2 linked regions of the Sus scrofa genome follow. The protein of the gene in region 1 interacts with the protein of each later gene in a pairwise test. Links are inferred from orthologs where the notes say so. Each region holds a gene or a part of one and is shown on either strand. Other genes may lie near its edges.

Region 1 (3,563 bases):
AACAACTTTAACAATAAAATACATTTGTGGGGCCGAAGAGTCAAGTTTGTCCATAGAGCTGGAATAAGGGTCACAGAGCAATGGCAATTGGTGGCTCACTAAAGAAAAATCTACAAATCTTCAAAACAAGTCCTATTCAAAAGAAATTTGGCAAACTATATGTTCATTGTCCAAATATGCACTCTTTTAGACAAAACTAATAATTCCATAAATTCGCTACTTCAACAGCAGAGAATTCTATCAACTGCATTCTAAAGTTCCACTGAGTCCTCCAGCATCAAATACTAATGTACCTCAGGCAGTATTTATTGGGTGGCAAGAATTGTTCACTGAACCACCAACACGGGGCAGTATCTATTATGGCATAAAACAAACAATGCATATTTTAGATAAGGAATATTATTTTCTCCCTTTAATAATAATCAATAAATACAAACCTAATTTTCACATTTCATTTTTTATTATTGGTTTTTTGTTTTCCTGGTAGACAGTACACTTGGGAATTATACCTTACCAGGCCTAAGAAGTAAGATTTCTACCACAGGGACATTTTGTATTCAGAATCCAATATAAATATTTCTAGTCAGACATTTCCATGGCTACAGATATTTGGTTGCTTGATTTATATGCATAGAAAGAAACAGTTGTCATAACTGTAAAAGCAGTACTTAACAAGTACTTTTAAATGATTGAACAGTTTTCGTTTAATATTACAATACTGCTTATTGGTTTGAAAACTAGGTCACCCTATATGATGTTCTGATTTTTCTCAAAGGCATCATCATGAGTACTCCGTTTTTTCTTTCATTCCTGCATTTTTAGCCTTCTAGTTGAGTTAGAAACTGTTTAATCAGAAATCATCTTAGCACTGTAATAAAAAAAGGGTTGTTAAGGATAGATTATATACCATAATGATTTTCAGACTTCTTTTTATAAAAAAGGTATCTGGAGGCTCTGAACAGGCACATGCATACTCAGGGTGAAGGGAACCACACAAAGAGGAGTCTGCTAAAGCACAAAACTTCCTGCTGGTCCCCAATGCCTTCAAATAAATACAAATATTAAAAAAAAAAAAAAATCCTCACACTGTGATTTAAAAAACAAAAACAAAAACCAAACAAACAAAAAACAGCCTCTTCAATCTCCTTGGGGAGTCCATTTGTAGGAACTTCTCCCAGGCTGAAGGTCAGTCATCGGTCTTCCGGGCCAGCCTGCAGAAAGTCCAGTTGTGCTCCACTGTGTTCTCGTTGGCCCGCTCACTCATGTGATGCACTCGGGTGTTGCGGATTGTGAAACCTTGCTTTGTAATGTATTCCATCAGATGGACTCGAAGAGAAACTTCCTGGTGATAATCACAGGGTCCAAAAGTAAAGGAAACCTGGCAATCTCTGGTGTCCATCATGTGCTTATTCCACTTCGTAAAATAGTTTGATATACCTTCTAGTAAGGAATGGACCTTGGTGGTAATGGTTAACTGGGTTATGATGACAGCTACTGGATTGGAATACTTAGAAAGCTTCCGAGTACTAGATAACTCCACAACTTCTTCAAAAGTATCCATAGGATACAAAGGCTTGGGGTCATTGAGACACTGAATCAAGGGCTCAATCTGATAAAAGTCTGCTTCTTTCCGAAGCAGATCAAATTCCTTAAAATCCAGGGGTAAAGTCAACTCTGAAGTTCTCAAGAAGTTGAGGACATATCGGAAAAGAGGTCCATCTCGATCAATGAAGTAATTGCCTTGAGGATCTCGAGCTGTGGGGAAGTCCCCCCCAAACATAGCTCCAAGCATGGAATCCGGGTAACGTGTCAACGTGGTGAGAGATGTTGTGTACAAGTGTCCACCTACATTTAACGTGACTGGGTCAGTCATCTGAAATTTTTTAAAAAATGATCAGTCATCTCAATTTTTTTTTTAAATCTTAACTTTGACAAATTAAGAAAATTAATGGTAACAAAAAAAGCAACAGATTCTTTCAGACTAGAACACAGCAATCCACTGAGGCAAAATAGCTTTACTTTTAGTGTGAAACCTACCCAGATGAAGGGATCTAACATTTGTTTCCAACAGAAAAAAAGGGTAAGTCCAATTTTTCAAAGCCTTACACTGAGAAAGGAGGACACAGCTTCCAAAGCCATTTAATTTCAGATCCAGTAACTGGAAGAAGTTTTCAGGTCAGAGTATATTATGGGAAGAGAAAGGCCAAACTAAAATATACTCATTTAAGTTTTATTCTGATTTTTTAAAAAAGAGACTTTCTTTTTTTCTTAATTCAATTTAATATAAAATAGAATCAAAATTATTTAATAACATAAAGACATCTACATTCAGTATTTCTTTGTCTTTTCCTCCCAAAAAAAAAAAAGGCAGGGGAATCATGAGGTTTTTGGTTTTTTTTTTTCCAGTTTGTGTAGACTTCATCTTCCTTTTTCATGGAAATAACAGTACCAAACACTGAGTTTAAAATACACAGTTTGGTCGATACAATCTCATATAGCCGAAAGCTAATAGCAGCTTTCAACTTGCGTCATCTGATAGTGTATTTACTTTTGTAACATTAATGTGGCAATCTGGCCTTTAATTTTGAAAAGCAAGCTTCTCTAAATAATACCTACCTTTGGTTTTAGAAATCACATGTAAGAAATAAAATAAGACAAGTAAAGATAGGTACTCGGCAAGTAAAATATTTCTTAACAAACATTTTCAAATAATAGGAGGACACCTGCACCTGTGCTCGTGAAAGAAGTGGCACCTTCTCAACTGTCAACCTCCCCAACCACAAGAAAATGTCCTCTCTTCTTTTTTTTTTTTTTTGTCTTTTTGCTATTTCTTTGGGCCGCTCCCTCGGCATATGGAGGTTCCCAGGCTAGGGGTCAAATCGGAACTGTAGCCACTGGCCTACGCCAGGGCCACAGCAACGTGGGATCCGAGCAGCGTCTGCGAACTACACCACAGCTCACGGCAATGCCGGATCCTTAACCCACTGAGCAAGGGCAGGGACCAAACCCCCAACCTCATGGTTCCTAGTCGGATTCGTTAACCACTGCACCACGACAGGAACTCCCTGTCCTCTCTTGTTACCTACTAGACACTGAAGAGTTACAATTCTATGAAGGAAGAGCTTTAGGAGCAACATAAAGACTGAAAAAACAAGTCATAAAAAGTTACAAAGAGACTCCATGTTTAGCTTGCTTACCTAAAAACACTGAACAAAATAAAAACACCCCCCAAATGCATCTAAATTAATTGGGAGAGTTACATCACTTATAATTTTCATTCTTATGAAATATACCTAAGAATATATTACATAGGGGGAAAAGACACAAAAAATAATTTGCCAGACTTCAGAATGCATCTGCAAAAGCCTCTCACCATATAGCCCCAGTCTCCATTATCCATCTGCTCCAGTGCTGCGTCTCGGGGAGCCCAGGTTCCAGGGAAACTTGGGGAAGAGAAAAAGACATGTGATAGAGCATGTAACCATGAAAACAGAGAAGAAAGGTTTTCTCACCCAACAGAGTAGGCCAAACACCAGAAAACTACTCATTTTTGCTCAACTAAA
Region 2 (4,270 bases), on another chromosome or scaffold:
CAACAACAACAACAACAAAGGGTTGTTGTGGAAAATTAAGCAAATAGTTTATGCAAAATGCTTAGCACTCAGCAAAAAAACAAGCCGGGGGTTGGGGGAGGGAGGGCTGGCAGTAGGTAACAGGGGACTACCAGGTACCAAAATAGAAAGCAGTAAATTATACAAAGCTAATCATTTTGTTATTTCCATGCTTAATGTATTTGCACATCCATCCCATCTCTCATCCCTAGAGAGCAACTACCTTATAAACCTAACGCTGAATTGCGATTACTCGAAGCTTTTTTTTTTTTTAAAGGTTTCCAATTTTTATCCTAGCTGAAAGAATATGTTCTAACCCCCTGACTCTCCATAATTGGAACTCTAGGAAAGGCACTAGGACTCTAAGCATCCAAAAGAGACCCCCACCTGGAACACAGGCCATACCTTAGTCATGTAACAAAGAAACCAACAGTATATAGGAGTCACACAAGCAAAGAAAAATCTGTACAACTCATACTTACTCGTCATTTTTCACCCCCAAGTCAAAATGAGGAGCCAAACAAAAAATAACAGATTTACTTATTCACATCCCTTATTATATCTCCTAGAAGAACAGGTAGAGGTGAGGTAAAAGACAAGTCTTCTTCCATCTTATCATCCAAAAGGTTCCAGTAGTACACACCCAGTCAAAACAATGCCTCAGTTCGTGGAAATAGTCCTGGTCGCTAGTCAACTAGAATGCTCACTGCAGCTACACAAAGCCCAGTATTTAAAGCTGGACCCAAAGCACTACTACCATTCAGTCAGCCAGAACCTATTTTCAAACTGCCTTTGTACTCCTTCAAATTCCCTCATTCCTCCCCCTAAAGGTTGAGTGGGAAACCAACACTCTGGCAGCAACATGACCAATCCTCCAAAGATCCAAGAACCCCCCCACCCCCCTTAGGCTGGCGTCAAGGCAGAGAGAGCATTTGAAAGAAAATTTGGAAATGAAATAAGAACTACAGCCCAATGGACTGTACACATTGTCCTTTTTTTCTTTGTAACTGCGCTTGCTATAATTAGGAGATACTCCTAATTATACAGACATTAAAATCTTACTGTAGCTCTTGCATAAATTATATTAAACGGAGAAACAAAGTTCTGTTTCCCTTGAAGACACAACCTTGTAAGAATGAACTCATCTTTCAAGAAACACTTTTGTTCTGGAAAAGAAATCCAAGGAAGTATTCTAGTCTAAAAAGAATTGAGGGGTGAGGGGCACAAAATCAGAGGATTATTATACATACATACCAGTTTAAAGCTAATGAGCAGCTAACACAGGCCCATCTTTTTACAATTAGGGCAGTATCTACTGCAGTTAGTTTTCAGACTGATTCTCATTTTCAAAGAAGATGGAAGAAAACATCCAGTTTTCAGTTACTGATGAGTTGGCTATACAATTATCTAGAATCAGTATTTTTGAAAGAATGTATTTGCAAAACAAAAACTAATCTTAAGATTAAATAGAAGATATGAAAGCACAGTCATGAGCCTTCAGCTCTTACAGATTTCTGATTTCATGGCTAATTAACCAAAGGAAAAACTCACCTCCAAAAAACAACTTTCAGTTTGGTTTAAAAGTAAGAATTCCCCTTTTGCTTTCTCAAATGCCTTCTAAACACTAAAGTTGGTATAGGTATTTTAGTCTTAGCCTATCATTATTTTAATCCAAGGCCCTTTCAGAGAGCACAAAGCTCAAAATATTTTCATGTGTATCGCCACTTTACTCAGGTGAACGCAAAAGCATGATTAGAATTTCCTTATCCCTTTAAGCACAGAAACCAAGGGTTATCGTACATGCCAACTCAACCTACACCTCCACAAACCTTTGCCATCAAGGTAGTTGTAGAAGGAAGGAGATGGCGATTCAGTTACCATGGATCCATTTGTTTTCTTTTATAAGGCAAAGCAGGGAGCTAAGTCTAGCCGGAGAATGAGGCTCCCACCCACCGCACCTGGAAAAGTAAAAGAAGGATCCACCCAGGAACAGCAGGGCTGAAACTGATCTGGGCTGTTCAAACTCCAGAGGAAAAAATACCACCATTTAAGCTGCAAAACTCCCTGCAACTTTCCACTTTCACAAATCCAATGATTAAAGGGAGGGAAAAAAAAGTTTTAAAACATGAATAACTAGCTTCCGACCCGGACAAATTCCTTTCCCAACCCACACGCAACATGCCAAAAAACCCAACTTTTGGTTTGGGCTCTGAAAACAGAAGTTTGTTAGCCTAACCTAGAAAAAAAATATGAAATAAAAGAACACACCAAAATGCAAATTTACAGAATTGCCCTCACCCCTCCGAATCTATTCATCTCCCTATATTAGAGAGACCCAGAAGTTTGTTCCTGGTTCTTGAATATTTTACTTTGTTTCAAATATAATACCAAAATTCCCCAAATGAGGAAAATTAATAACCGCTTAAAAGTTACCCATCAGCGTAACAGAATCTCTTGTTTCTAAATTCCCTCCGGTTACCTTAAGACAAAAATTCGACTTGGCTTATCCTCCTTCACCCATCTATACACATATTTTTAAAAAGGCACACACCTCAAATGTGGACTTCTAGAAACCAGTCCTCTAAGAAAGAAACCCAAGCCTTCGTCAACGTGCTGAGAAAGACAAATCCAGCAAGGGAGTTGATTTTTCGCCACCTCTTCCTCCTTTCAGGGTCTTTCCTGCTCTTCTTTCTCTCTCTCCCTCTTTTTTTTTCTCTCAGATCCAACACCTAAAATGGAAGTTGCACCCAGCCAAAGGCTAGGGAGCCTGGGTGGTGACAAACTGATCTGGCAGCCCTACCCCTCGCTTTCCTAAGTGATGTCAGCCCCTGGGAACTTCCAATCGGAGCCAGGCATAAATCAGGGAGCTGATTTTATCCAATAGGAAACTTTATTATAGGAATTAAAAAAAAAAAAAAGGAGAGAGAGGAGGGGAAAAAGAGACAGGGGGAAGTTTTATATATATTTATATTTAAAGTGGAGACTGTACGATCTCTGAGGAATTACTGCAGAGCTGGGGGGTTAGGGGAAGGGGGCTTAGGGAACAAGGGCTTTTTAAAACGACAGGGCCTAAGCGCGTCAGTTCTCTTTGATGCTGGGGTTCTTACTCCTTCCTTTTTGGGTGGGGAAGCAAATAAAAGCTGATTTTATTTGCCTACTGCTATTTAGTTTGTTGCTTTCTACCCTAAAGCATTTTCCCAAAGGAAGACAAGAAGGGAAGGAGAGAGAAATCCTAGAAACAGGACTACAATGTCTTGAATGGGATGGTAGGGGATATCTGAGGTAAACACTCAATTTCATTGTTTTGGTTTAAATGCATTTAGGCTGATTAGGAAAAAATAAATGCTTGGACTTGTTCATACTTTTTAGTGTGTATGCTTTCAATGAGAAGGAAACTGAATCCTCTAGGTTATTGAGGAAAATCAGTCTTCTCATTTATCCCCAAATCAAAATAATGTGGCATTGAGTGGGAGAATAAATGATATCCCATAAACAAGCAATATATTTAGAGTAGATAACAGCATGTGTAAGGAAAAGAAAGTCTCACGTCTAGAAAATTCAATTTATTTGTGAACTTGAAGCTTAAGACATCCATTCCCTTTTTACGCTTGACCTAAATAGAGGATAAAAACAAGTATTCTTTTTCTGAGTTAAGAGTTATATTATAGGAGTTCTCATCGTGGCGCAGTGGTTAACGAATCCGACTAGGAACCATGAGGTTGCGGGTTCGATCCCTGGCCTTGCTCAGTGGGTTAAGGGTCTGGCGTTGCCCTGAGCTGTGGTGTAGGTTGCAGACGCGGCTCAGATTCCGCATTGCTGTGGCTCTGGTGTAGGCCGGTGGCTATAGCTCCGATTCGACCCCTAGCCTGGGAATCTCCACATGCCGCGGGAGTGGCCCAAGAAATGGCAAAGACAAAAATAAATAAATAAATAAATAAAATAGGGGTTAAGAGCATAGATTCTGTAGTCTGACTGGCTTCAAATTTTCCTCCTCTGTGAGTACACTTACTCAAGTAAATGTACTATATCCTCTGTGACCTTGGAAAGGTTATATAACCTTTCTGTGACTCGGTTTCTTAACCATAAAATGGAGATAATAACTATCTCACAGGACTGTTGTAATTAAAATACACACAAAGTTCTTAAAACAATGTATGCCATATAGTATAAATTCAATGAGTATCTACCAGTATCTACCCTGCCCAAAAATAGTGGCAGTGTCTCATCATTGCCCAGTAACTACAACCAATGA

What was found.
Region 2: the proteins of KCTD6 (region 1) and CTNND1 interact in binary tests that used the Homo sapiens proteins (3 or more experiments, as listed by UniProt). The two-hybrid records come from large-scale screens. The link is inferred for Sus scrofa from reciprocal best matches to the Homo sapiens genes KCTD6 and CTNND1.

Annotation. Positions count from the first base shown.
Region 1 is NC_010455.5:40,216,967-40,220,529, reverse strand, and holds the end of KCTD6 (BTB/POZ domain-containing protein KCTD6), read right to left. Parts: exon of another isoform or gene 3,444-3,563; 5' UTR 3,401-3,443; coding exon 3,374-3,400; intron 1,874-3,373; coding exon 1,187-1,873; 3' UTR 439-1,186; downstream 1-438. UniProt on the Homo sapiens protein: Probable substrate-specific adapter of a BCR (BTB-CUL3-RBX1) E3 ubiquitin-protein ligase complex mediating the ubiquitination and subsequent proteasomal degradation of target proteins.
Region 2 is NC_010444.4:13,206,416-13,210,685, forward strand, and holds the start of CTNND1 (catenin delta-1), read right to left. Parts: upstream 2,817-4,270; 5' UTR 2,570-2,816; intron 1-2,569. UniProt on the Homo sapiens protein: Key regulator of cell-cell adhesion that associates with and regulates the cell adhesion properties of both C-, E- and N-cadherins, being critical for their surface stability.